Nothobranchius furzeri: one gene and its partners. The protein of the gene in region 2 binds, or shares a complex with, the protein of the main gene of each other region. Links are inferred from orthologs where the notes say so. Each region holds a gene or a part of one and is shown on either strand. Other genes may lie near its edges.

Region 1 (4,420 bases), on a different chromosome or scaffold from region 2:
TCAGGCTGCTGTAAAATGTAATCTCTATCCACATCAGACTTATCCTCTATTCTTTCTCTATTTGCTCTGCTGTCTGGGCTGACCTACCTGATGGTGCGTGCGGCGCATCTAGCGGCTGTGATGCACATTTTACGCATTTGGAGAGGTGGGTTGGATGCTTTGCTTTACTGGCAGATGGATTTTTTTTTTTCAAAAATGTCGGAGATTTTGCCCCATGAATAACCGTTAAAACCACCGGTGTGCATGTACCCTTATGAAAGAGTCCTACGTTGAGAGGTAAATATTAGAAGTGCAGGTAATGCATTCTGGTGCCTATAAATGAAAAATGAATGAAACATATCTATATAAAAAGGCTGCGCAGCGGCACAGTCGTTAGAGCTTTTGCCTTGCAGCAAGAAGGTCCTGGGTTCGCTTCCCGGCCTGGGAACTTTCTGCATGGAGTTGGCATGTTCTCCCTGTGCATGCATGGGTTCTCTTCAGGTACTCCAGCTTCCTCCCACAGTTCAAAAACACGACTGTTAGGTTGATTGGTCTGTCTAAATTGTCCCTAGGTGTGTGTGTGTGTGTGTGTGTGTGTGTGTGTGTGTGTGTGTGTGTGTGTGTGTGTGTGTGTGTGTGTGTGTGTGTGTGATTGTTTGTCTTGTGTGTCTCTGTGTTGCCCTGCGATGGACTGGCTCTCTGTCAAGGATATACCCCGCCTGATTGCCCGTTGACCGCTGGAGATAGGCACCAGCCCCCACCCCCCCATTCGCAACCCTGCATGGACAAGCAGGTTCAGAAAATGGATGGATGGATCTATATAAAAATAACAAAAATACAGAGAACAAATAGATTAAACATACTCAACAATCAACTTCTTGTATAATTCTATTTAACCCAGCTCATCAACATAATGATCCAGTAGATGTTTTTTGTAGCTCTTGATTTACCTTTACACATTTTTTGCAGCATGGATAGTGATTGTAGATTACTCAGGTATGTGTTTCCCCAAACTTCCACACAGTAATTCAAGTATGGCATTACCAGTGATGAAAACAGATTTATCCTAAAGATATAATTTCGTATGTCACAAATTTGACTCAAAAAGTTTATTTTGAAATCACAGGTTGGTGCGGTTTCATAGTTCGCACCATTTAATTCCTGGTGGTTTTAGCCGCGCTTCCATGCGGGCGGAGTCTAGTAGCAATAAATACCTCGAATGTTAAAAATAGAAAAGGCCACATTGGTCAAACATTCATGCAAGCTATTTGAGATGTTAATATTGTTTTATATTGCATCTGTTTCTATTAGCGAAGTTTCCCCTCTCAGTTGATCACAAATACAACTTCCTCCCCGCTCGTTTTGACTTCCGCCCGGCGAATCAAAAGAAGCAAACCCTACCATCGACATAAATATACTGGACATCTCCATTCCAAAGTCAACCCAGGGCCAAAAACTTAACGCTTTATAGTCTTACTTTATTCACAGAAAACCTTGAGTTCCATTCAAGTTGAACTCTGTAATGTTATTTTAGTTTAGGAAAATAAATAAAACGTTTTCATGGTACTTCCTGTTATTTGTGACGTAGTTGTCGCAGTTGTTTGTCATCACTGTTTCTTTCGAGTTTTCCCGCGCTGTCCTTAGCTAACCAAGCTGTCAGCTTGACTGAAGAGCAGCAGTAACATATACCTAGCTGCACATTAGCTTGGCTTTACTACATTATAATGCCATCTTCAGACTACGACTCCGCTTGTCTGCCGGACTTATTACCGCTGTACTACCGACGACTGTTCCCCTTCTACCAGTATTACCGCTGGCTTACCTACGGAGGAGGTAACTTCACAAACAGACCAGAACCACGAGCAAGCGTCAGACCGGGCTGTTAGCTTGTCTTCTGTGATTTAACTAGCTATATATGTAATTAGGCTAGCTAGCCTTCTATGCTGAACTTCAGGGTTTGTGGATTTTACGTTTGCTTCCCCCTGTGTAACATTTGAGATGTATTTACAACTGTTACAGAGCTTTTCAGAGCGTTTGACTTATGTTACGTTTAAACAAGGATTCACTTTAGTAAGACAGCTGCTAATTTATTTAAGGAAAGCAGCTTGTTCCCAGTATTCAAGAGTTGATGAAGACCTGAAAAAAACAACAATAAAGCCTGGGTAGTTAAACGTCACCGTATTTTATTGCACTGATAAATTCAGATAAGATTAAGTAAAATTTTTCTGGAAGACGTTGATTTTATTAGTAATGAAACTTTACAGCGATTATTTTATATGTGATATTTAAACAAAAGTTTGTCACTCATTAGAAAAGAGACAGATTTTGCTTGATTGCCTTTATGAAATAAACACATACAGTGTTTATTTGTCCATTTTCCCACATTCTCAGTGCAGAAGAACTACTTCCAAAACCGAGAGTTCTGCTTCACGCTCAAAGATGACATCTACGTGCGCTACCAGTCTTTCAGCACGCTGAACGAGCTGGAGAAGGAAATGCAGAAGATGAACCCTTATAAGATTGATATTGGAGCAGTGTACAGTCACAGGGTAAGACTTTATTCTGGATCAAATCATGTTTACTATCGTGTAAGTGTAGTAAAGTCACTGTTTGTCATCAACAGCCTAATCAACACAACACGGTGAAGTCCGGCAGCTTCCAAGCTCTAGAGAAGGAACTTGTGTTTGATATTGATATGACAGATTATGATGATGTCCGAAGCTGCTGCAGGTGATTATTTCTAGTTCTGAGCCTGTTCAGAGTGTTCTGGAGGACAATCTACCAAAATGACCTTTTCAAACTTCGATCCAGTGCTGCAGACATTTGCACCAAGTGCTGGACGCTGATGACCATTGCTATCCGCATCTTGGACAGAGCGCTCAGAGGTGTGTCCCTGGTCTTATGTCAGGCATGTGTTTATTTTGAATCAAATCAGATTGACATTTTTTATGTTTCTCCCAGAGGACTTTGGCTTTCAGCACCTGCTGTGGGTTTATTCTGGCAGAAGGGGAGTTCATTGTTGGGTGTGTGATGAAGCTGCCCGGAAGCTCTCTGCTGCAGCACGCTCTGCTGTGGCTGAATATCTCAGCCTGATCAAGGTAGCAATGGTTTTACCGGTATTAGGTGATTTTAAAGCAAAACTCCAAGATTATTTAAGTCTTTTAAGCAGTCCTAGAATTTAAAACCACATTTATCTGGTTGTTGTTGTTGGATAAAGGCAGCTTGGGGGTGTCTAGTGTAGCATACCAAAATGTCTGTGCTGTTGCTGACCTGCTTTCCTATGTAAATTAATAATGCTGTAACGGCCACAGAGAAATGGTTCGTTTGGAGAAAAGCTGGTTTAACACGTCATTAGCACGACACACACCCTAAAATCTGCAGGTCCCAACCTAATCATTGGTCATGATTAGGGGTGTGATGGTTCACGGGGCGGTGTTGAACCGTTTCAGTTTGGTCCACTTGCGTATTGTTTTGGTTTAACAAAGAAGAATGTTGGAGCACCAATCACATTCCAGGATATAATGGGAGTATCCAGATTGTGAATGAATGAATGCTAGATTAATCCATAGCCTGCAATCTGGTCTAACAGAGTACAGCCACACACACACACACACACACACACAGACAGATAGGCAGATCGATCCACATCTTGCAGTCCTTGTTCTCCTGCTTGTTTATCTGCAAAACCTGCTCCTCAACCCATTTGAATCTCTCTTTGGAAAACACTCACTTCTTTACTCGTTTGTCTGCACTGATAGTAACACACACACACACACTCACACACAGGTCACAGACTTACTTGCTTCAAGAAATAAAGCTATTGGGGTGCGTTGGTCAATTTTTCTGGGTTCCTGAGCCCCAACAAAGTTTCATGGGATATATTAAGGCTCAAATAATAGTTTCCAATCGTTAAAAAAATTACTTTTATCTAGAACCCCTTTAAAGTTCAAATTCAAAGCCACTTAACAGCTGCTCCCATAACTAAAAGCTGCTTATTTATTGGTTTCTGACTAACATACAGTACAGTTGTATGTCCAGATGTGATTTCTAAATGTAACCTTTTAGGGTGGTGAAGATACTGTGAAGAAAGTAGTGCTGACAGATCCAATTCACCCCTTTATCAGGTAAATATACGTTTGACTGTTGTTTTTGTCATTGCTGCTTCTGTTTGTGGCTTCAGCTGTGTCTAATCCCACCAGAGAGTCTTTGGCAGTGGTGGAGCACTTCTTCCCTCAATACGCGCTGCAGGATCAGGACATACTGGCCCGCAAAGAGTCTGTAGACAAAGTCCTGGCTCTAGTTCCTGATGATATCCTTTCTCTAACGTGCTTGCTCAGTAATTTCCTGAATATGAAAACCAGCTGAATTGATATGATTTTTAAAAAGCAGTGATAATTATGAGGCCTTAATTTGTTCTGTACATGTAAAAAAAGAGTTACAG
Region 2 (3,648 bases):
ATCACGTGACAGCGACTAGTCGATGACGGGCATAAAAAGTCACTACAGAGCCGTGAAGTCGACTAGTTCATACAACCCCTAATACACGCTCGGTATTTATGCAGGAGAGAGAGAGAGAGAGAGAGAGAGAGAGAGAGAGAGAGAGAGAGAGAGAGAGAGAGAGAGAGAGAGAGAGAGAGAGAGAGAGAGAGAGAGAGAGAGAGAGAGAGAGAGAGAGAGAGAGAGAGAGAGAGAGAGAGAGAGAGAGAGAGAGAGAGAGAGAGAGAGAGAGAGAGGAGAGAGAGAGAGAGAGAGAGAGAGAGAGAGAGAGAGAGAGAGAGAGAGAGAGAGAGAGAGAGAGAGAGAGAGGAGAGAGAGAGAGAGGGAGAGAGAGAGAGAGAGAGAGAAGAGAGAGGGAGAGAGAGAGAGAGAGAGAGAGAGAGAGAGAGAGAGAGAGAGAGGAGAGAGAGAGAGAGAGAGAAGAGAGAGAGAGAGAGAGAGAGATTTATAGTCTTGACATGACCTCTACAGTCATCGTCCAACCTGGATTAAAACAAGACGTCAACACGAAGAAGCTGTTTAATGCACCAATTATGGGACTAATCTACGATTAAAAAAAAAAAAAAAAAACACCAAAACTCTGGCAGAATATTAACTAGACGGGTGTGTTTTGTTTCAGGGTGACAGAGTGGAGCCCAGCTTGACGCGCTGCCGTCACATCCCCTGTGGGAGTCGACCAATCGACTACGTCGTCAACATCAGCAACAGGCTGCTTCTGGATATCCGCCGGCACGTCAAAAAATACTACTCTGTGAGTGATTAGCAAAATGCTTCGTTAGCTGGGCTGCGTGTTTGCAAGTTTGAGTCCCAGCTTTAGCTTTTCTGCATGGAGTTAGCTCAGTTGTCCTCACTCCTGGGCCTGTAGAGCTGGTATCCAGCATGTTTTCCTTGTTTCTCTGCTCCAATACACCTAATTCGGTGGTTGAATCACCTGTTCAACAGGCCATCAGGTGCTTCAGAAGCCTGTTAATCATTTGTTGATTGAAATCAGGTGTGTTGAAGCAGAGTTAAAGCTAAAACAAGCTGTATACCAGCTCTCCAGGACCAGTAGTGAGGACCGCTGAGAGCTTCATCATTATCATCATTTAAAAGGGACATGTGATCCAAAAATCACCTTTTGCATTTTGCACTGCCACATGGGTCTCTACTGCCTCTGTAAACACTTTAAATGTGAAAAATCTCATCCGTTAGTGTTTGGTTTTAGGAATTATAAGCCTAAACAAATTTCTAAAAGTCCCCATTTGTGATGTCACAAACAGGGAAGTCTTGCATGTAAGAGAGCTGCTGCTGCAGGAGCAGCGGCTCTACTGAGTCTCTTGGCTTGTAGCAGCTAAATGGGAAATGGGTGGGTGTGGCCAACTCCAGCTTGTTTTCTTAAAGGGGCATTATGGAAGTTTGACAGCCATAACATGTATAGAAATAATAAATGTCTTCTTCATACATTCTCCTGCAATGCCCTGGTCCTGCAGAATGAGCCCTGGCATTTTTACTGTGATTGCCTGTTTTTCTGTAAAATCACAGAAAAGAGAGATGCTCGGGTCGAGCAGGCTGCTTCATGCGACGGTGGCACAGGAGTTAAGTGCTCGCCTCGCAATCGGAAGGTCGCAGGTTCGAGACCCGCTCAGTCTGTCGCTGTCGTTGTGTCCTTGGGCAAGACACTTAACCCACATTGCCTGCTGGTGGTGGTCGGAGGGACCGGTGGCGCCAGTGCTCGGCAGCCTCGCCTCTGTCAGTGCGCCCCAGGGCAGCTGTGGCTACATCGTAGCTCATCCCCACCAGTGTGTGAATGTGTGTGTGAATGGGTGAATGACTGATTGTGTTGTAAAGCGCCTTGGGGGGTTTCCAGGACTCTAGAAGGCGCTATATCAAATACAAATACAGGCCATGCGCGTTCACGCTCAGGCATAGCCCTCCGAACCATTCTTAAGTGGTACTGATTCAAGTGACGTCACTAGCGCGTTAGCTCGCCTAGTAAGACGTCAGACTTTCGTGCAGAAGACCGGGTTCGATTCTGGATGTGAACATAGTTTATTTAGAGTTTCTTTTTTACATTAATGGTATATTTTTTACAGTAAGATGCCCAAATTTTTGTTTGAGACTCGCCGAACGGCATTGAATTCACAGATAAAAAGATGTGGGTTCAACTTTCCTTTCGGAACAATTTTTCAAGAGCATGCCGGAGGACTGACCCATCATAAACCTTTGTCGGCTGTGCTGAAGAGAAAGGTACAGAACCAAATTATTTAATTAATTAGCTGCGCGTTCTCCTGTCCCCTGTCCTCCGGGCCACACACACACACACACATGGAGCTGACTGTCTCAGCTGTTATTTTCGTTAAGGAGTGTGCACGTACAGCATGCGCGCCTCGTGCACGAGCCTACTATTGAAGCTGCCGTTACGCTTTTGGCCCGAGGGGGCAATCGCGAGCATAAAAATTCAAAACTCCGTAAAGTCCCTTTAAAGTGACAGAGCCAAGAAACAACTCATTCTGGAAGGTAGTGAAAAAGTTCAGTTAAAAAACTGCTGGAGTTGCTTAATTTGACAGAGATTTAGTGCAAAGTACTGAATCAAATGTTCTTCATCAACCATAAAACTTTTATAACTAAGAAAAAAAAGTTTTTTTAAGTTTTAAAGGATTAAAAAAGCAGTGAATGGGAAGGAACTATTTTATTAATGAGGTCACAAAATTTAGATCAACCAGTTAATACATCCCAAAAGTATTTTATAAAATAAATTAAAATCCAGTTTTTTAAATAAAATGAGATTTACTATTATTACCTTGAAACTTAATATAAAGGTAAAATAAGAAGGTGCAAAACAGTTTTTGCTCAAATTTTCCTAAAAAGAACACCCAATTAAAGAATAGAATGAGTTAAGACTTGGTAAAAGTTATTAAATGAATAAACAAAACACAGGTAAACTGATATGTTTAGTTTTTTTTTTCCATTCAAAAGTCAGCTGCTCCCAGGCCGTTCTACAGGCAAGGCCCCTTCTCCTTGGTGCGTTTGTCTCCGTGTCCCTGTGATGGACTGGCATGTCGTTATGTCCCGGATGTCCCTGGCCTCTCAGCCAATGACCTCGCGACCCTAGTGAGGATAAAGCAATTCTGGATTAACCTGTAACTCCATAATTTGTTCACTCGGAACAGCCGTAGTTTAAACTCGCTGATATCCTCACGTAAACTCTTATTTGATGGGATTTGAGTCCACAGAGGCTCCATGCAGACCCCAGCAGCACAATAAGTATTAATATCCATAAACTCTTGAATTAATTTGGTCTCATCTGGACAAAAAAAAGCTGAAACGGTCGGAGCAAAAAAAAAGTGTGTGTTATAATAAAATGTCTTTGTGTCTGTATGAAATGTTTAAACTGTGTTTAACTCAACAGGGGTTGCAATAGATGCAGTAATGTTAAGAGACGCCATCACAGAGATGTTAGACCTCAGCAGGGCAGCGGGCTGACATTTTCAGCCAGAGATCACACTGTGCAGAGAGAAAAAAGTGATGTGTGGTGGCAGAATAATACCTAAATTACCATTTATGGCTTCAACTTTAACCAGGAAATGCATACGCAGTTGTTTGGATGACGAGCGCTTCAGAGCCGCAACT
Region 3 (3,648 bases), on a different chromosome or scaffold from region 2:
GCATATTTGGGACAGGATTACAGCATCCAGAAGAATGTTGGGAAAATCTCTTTGGAACAGATTGATTCAGTAAGTTGCACTAATCGTCTCTGGTTGAAACGCAAACTTCAAGGTTCATTTTGTATCCCAGATATGGAAAAAGACATTTCATAAGCCTATTAAAATGTTGCTGCAATGTAAGCCAAAGGTGGTCCAAAAAATATTGATTTCCGTGCCTCCCATGACAGCAGTGTTATTATTAATATTACTAATCATTCACAGGCACACATTCATGTTTGCTGCAAATGTCTTTATGCAAATCATTAACATTTGAGGGCTTTTAGCTTTCAGGAAAATCATTCCCGCTCTGCATGAGGCAGCTCCACCAGGCCCTTAGAGAGAACCACCACCTTCGCCACGGAGGGAGGATGCAGTACGGTCTCTTCCTCAAAGGCATCGGCCTCTCTCTGGAGCAGGCTCTACAGTTCTGGAGGTCGGAGTTCATAAGGGGCAAAGTGGATGGAGACAAGGTAACTTACGTCTCACAAGCATTTACCTGTAATGTTAAACTGGTTTGATCTGTGCGTTAAACACCACGGCAAGACTGAACAAGGTTCTGCATCTCAACTGTTATTCAGATCTTGATGGAGGCCGTTAATTTCAGAAAGCTTCACTTAATGAAGAAAGTTTACCTGTGTTATTTGTTCACAGTGGTGATATGACTCTAATGAAGAGTAAAGTGGGTATAATTTATTACAACTTGCAGGAGACAGAAACGGTTAAATTAAATAGTTGTGCATGAAGAAAGCCTCCACGGAGACGGCGCTGACTCGGCGTGCAGCAGCAACCCTAAAGAACAAAAATCATTTCCTGCTTTTCAAATCAAAACGAATCACGCCAATTAGTCTTATACTGCTTTTAAAAATTAAGTTACATGAAAGCCTTGTCGCGTTCTATAGAAAACTACTTCTGACTAGATTGTGTCGTTTGTATTCCAGGCATCAACACGTACGGCGTTAATTTTCTCAGTTGAGTCATTTGACAGTGGCAGATGTGTTTGACCGAGTTCCACTCGCGTACATGGATCTAAAGTCCGGGCTTATAAATGTCAATGCATTTCTTTATTGACTGAAGAAAATAACTTCCTCTTAAATGGGTAATTGCTCAGGTTGTATCGATTTTTCTTTTACAAACATGTTTGTACACCAAAGACTATTAAAGACAAATCACACTCTTCATCTTGCCAGGCTGATCGTCGGCGTGCTCCTGATTCAGATTTTACTTTGTTCATACATTTCCTCCCTCTATTCAGGATGCAGACACTTAAAAACTGTATTTATGTGGTTTAAAAGTCCCGTAGATGTTTTTCTGGAGAATTTTTTGCTATATTGTTTGAAATGTTCAAAACACCAAAAGGGCGGGGCACTTTTAGATTATTTAAATTACATTTAGCTCTGTTGTCGTTTCCTTTTTACATGCTGCTGTGATCGGGGGGCTTTTGGTCATTAGTGGTCAGACGGTGCTGATAATTTGGTGCAATAATGTTCTTTTCAGAAACGATTACACGATTGATGATTTACCCTTTGCATGTGATGTCACGCCGCTCATGGGACCACCCCCTTTGCCATTACAGATGGTGGAAACACTGTTTACACATGTTGAAAATCCATTGATGCTAGTCAAAACAAGCCATTTTGTAGCCTTTTATTGGTTGAAGTTAGTTGATTTCACAGTAAAATGGAAATAGTTTGGTGCACAGTTGGCTCCACTATCAGACAAGGGTGTAAACTCAACAGAAAACAGGAATGAGCTGCAGTGATCAATCCAGCGGACTAGCAGCCGCCAAAGTTTTTTCAGATTTACAGCGAACACGTGATCATGACACGACCCGCTTTTCGCTGTCCACACATTACTTGCGAGACACATGAAACAAACATTCCAGAATCAAATTTGAAACAGAATAAAATATTTAGAGCCAAGTGCTTTCATTTTTATCATTATTTTCAAGTTAGGGGAGATTAATGAACCTAATTTTAATCATCACTGCTAGCTGGACAGAAAGCTGAGCTAAGCTCCAACTCCTGATGCTGAATAGTAGAATTAATTAGCTGCTCTTCCAGTAAAGTGCTGACCATTTGTTGGTTTTGGATAACTTTTTACAGACGTCTCATCCAATCTGATGCCTGAGATAGAATCAGGGTCCCGATATAAGCATGTTCTGATGGATTAAGGTCACTTAGTGCAGTCAGCTTCTGTTGTCTTTGTGTCAGAGGCTGCTTGAAAGATTTGGTACAAGGTGACTATGTCAGCATATCTCTCTGATGGATGTATTTTAATTTGTGCAATTTTGCCTTTTGTGAGGTTTGTTGAAGAGTTTTAGGACAGAAAATTTTACTACACATCTAAAGTGCAAAGCCTTGGCCTTCAAAGAGTGCACAGGTTTCTTCAGGACATTGTTTAGAGGATTACTGAGAGGGTATTGAATTCAGTAGTCTTCATATTTTTGTTCTTTTTTCTGTTTATTTTTGTGTCGGGCTCTTTCTAAGCCTTAATCTCTCATCATGCATATCCAACAGTGTAACCTAGCTGTACAAGAGACTTTGATACCTCTTAAGAGGCATTTTCTCTGATCTGAAAAGGCTTTGCTGCAGCAATTTGGACGTTAGCCTCGGTTCTCATTGGATCAAGTTGCCATTGGATCAGAATTGTGCAGTGTTGGACGCCCAGCAGTTTTGTGAATCTCATGCAGCAGAGCATGCAAAGCAGGCGAAAAGATGTCCAACACGCGGGTAATGGACGAGTGCCATGTCCACACCATTCTGCATGATAATGCACAAAATATGAAAAAGTGATGGATGACACTGGAGGGATCTAAAGATGGAGTGCATGACATGAGGTTTCAAGGGCTTCTATCCCAGCACAGCATCACCGATACATTCATACATCACATAAAATCAATACATGGATTTAATTGATCTCTTTCTGGGTAGTATGGGATCGACTCGTCATTAACAAACTTTTGTTTGCTTGTGTCTAATCTGAAGCAAACTAGGGCTTGATTGGTGTGCATGTCTTTCATTTCTATTTAATTTCCAATATTCTCATTTGCTGAAGCATTTTGTGTTGTCTTTAAGAATAATAATAGGAAAATAAGAAAATCTTATTTTAGCGTCTTTTGTGCTGCCGTGTGGGTTTCTAAACACCTGAAACAAAAAAATCCCATTCGTCTGTTTTCTCAGTTGTTCGGTTTAGGAATTATGTGCCTAAAATGAGACAATTAAAAAGACTTCCCGATTGTGATGTAACAATTCGGTAAATTAACATAGAACCACCCCTCACCTTCCAAGTTCCCACCTACCAAAATCGCTGAGCATCCAACATTTTTGTTTACCGAGACGTGGAGCGACGCTCCCAGCAATAATTGGGAATAATATTTGTGCAAACGGGGACTGGGTGATATGACCACAAATCAGTATCATGACATACTGAGCACTTCACCTCGATAACGGCAAATGGACGATAACCACCCATACAGCTTCACAGTGACAGCGATGGCGAGAAAGATTTAGTCGAGGAGAAGCCTGTTCCTACAAAAAACCTTTTAACAGTTTGGCAACATTTTGGATTCAGTTGCTGCCGCTGGCATTCGCTGGCCGCTACCCAGTGCAC

What was found.
Region 1: the proteins of pola1 (region 2) and prim1 are in contact, whole or in part, in a cryo-EM structure (PDB 7OPL), measured with the Homo sapiens proteins. The link is inferred for Nothobranchius furzeri from reciprocal best matches to the Homo sapiens genes POLA1 and PRIM1. Residues at the interface, in NP_058633.2 of Homo sapiens: Tyr439, Ala440, Pro447, Glu448, Lys449, Ser450, Phe876, Thr877, Thr878, Gln880, Leu906; in NP_000937.1 of Homo sapiens: Asn92, Thr93, Val94, Lys95, Leu96, Gly97, Ala98.
Region 3: the proteins of pola1 (region 2) and prim2 are in contact, whole or in part, in a cryo-EM structure (PDB 8G9F), measured with the Xenopus laevis proteins. The link is inferred for Nothobranchius furzeri from reciprocal best matches to the Homo sapiens genes POLA1 and PRIM2. Residues at the interface, in NP_001082055.1 of Xenopus laevis: Leu842, Lys853, Ile894, Pro895, Glu896, Leu971, His974, Arg977, Glu978, Leu981, His982, Glu985, Gln988, Lys989, Asn991, Glu993, Asn1007, Asn1009, Arg1101, Asp1102, Glu1106, Gln1109, Glu1221, Asp1224, Gly1225, Asp1227, Ala1229, Leu1230, Met1233, Trp1234; in XP_018121015.1 of Xenopus laevis: Pro34, Pro35, Thr36, Glu37, Asn38, Ile39, Ser40, Leu41, Ile42, Phe44, Glu45, Ile49, Ile107, Phe110, Ile111, Leu114, Cys117, Gln118, Ser119, Glu120, Asp121, Arg123, Ala240, Arg241, Leu243, Val245, Val246, Gln247, Arg251, Leu252.

The regions. Positions count from the first base shown.
Region 1 is NC_091755.1:56,472,043-56,476,462, forward strand, and holds the start of prim1 (DNA primase small subunit), read left to right. Parts: upstream 1-1,580; 5' UTR 1,581-1,703; coding exon 1,704-1,812; intron 1,813-2,370; coding exon 2,371-2,528; intron 2,529-2,602; coding exon 2,603-2,709; intron 2,710-2,790; coding exon 2,791-2,864; intron 2,865-2,940; coding exon 2,941-3,077; intron 3,078-4,044; coding exon 4,045-4,103; intron 4,104-4,178; coding exon 4,179-4,288; intron 4,289-4,400; coding exon 4,401-4,420. UniProt on the Homo sapiens protein: Catalytic subunit of the DNA primase complex and component of the DNA polymerase alpha complex (also known as the alpha DNA polymerase-primase complex - primosome/replisome) which play an essential role in the initiation of DNA synthesis.
Region 2 is NC_091747.1:54,858,563-54,862,210, reverse strand, and holds part of pola1 (DNA polymerase alpha catalytic subunit), read left to right. Parts: intron 1-658; coding exon 659-790; intron 791-3,648. UniProt on the Homo sapiens protein: Catalytic subunit of the DNA polymerase alpha complex (also known as the alpha DNA polymerase-primase complex) which plays an essential role in the initiation of DNA synthesis.
Region 3 is NC_091752.1:19,604,108-19,607,755, reverse strand, and holds part of prim2 (DNA primase large subunit), read left to right. Parts: coding exon 1-69; intron 70-323; coding exon 324-509; intron 510-3,648. UniProt on the Homo sapiens protein: Regulatory subunit of the DNA primase complex and component of the DNA polymerase alpha complex (also known as the alpha DNA polymerase-primase complex) which play an essential role in the initiation of DNA synthesis.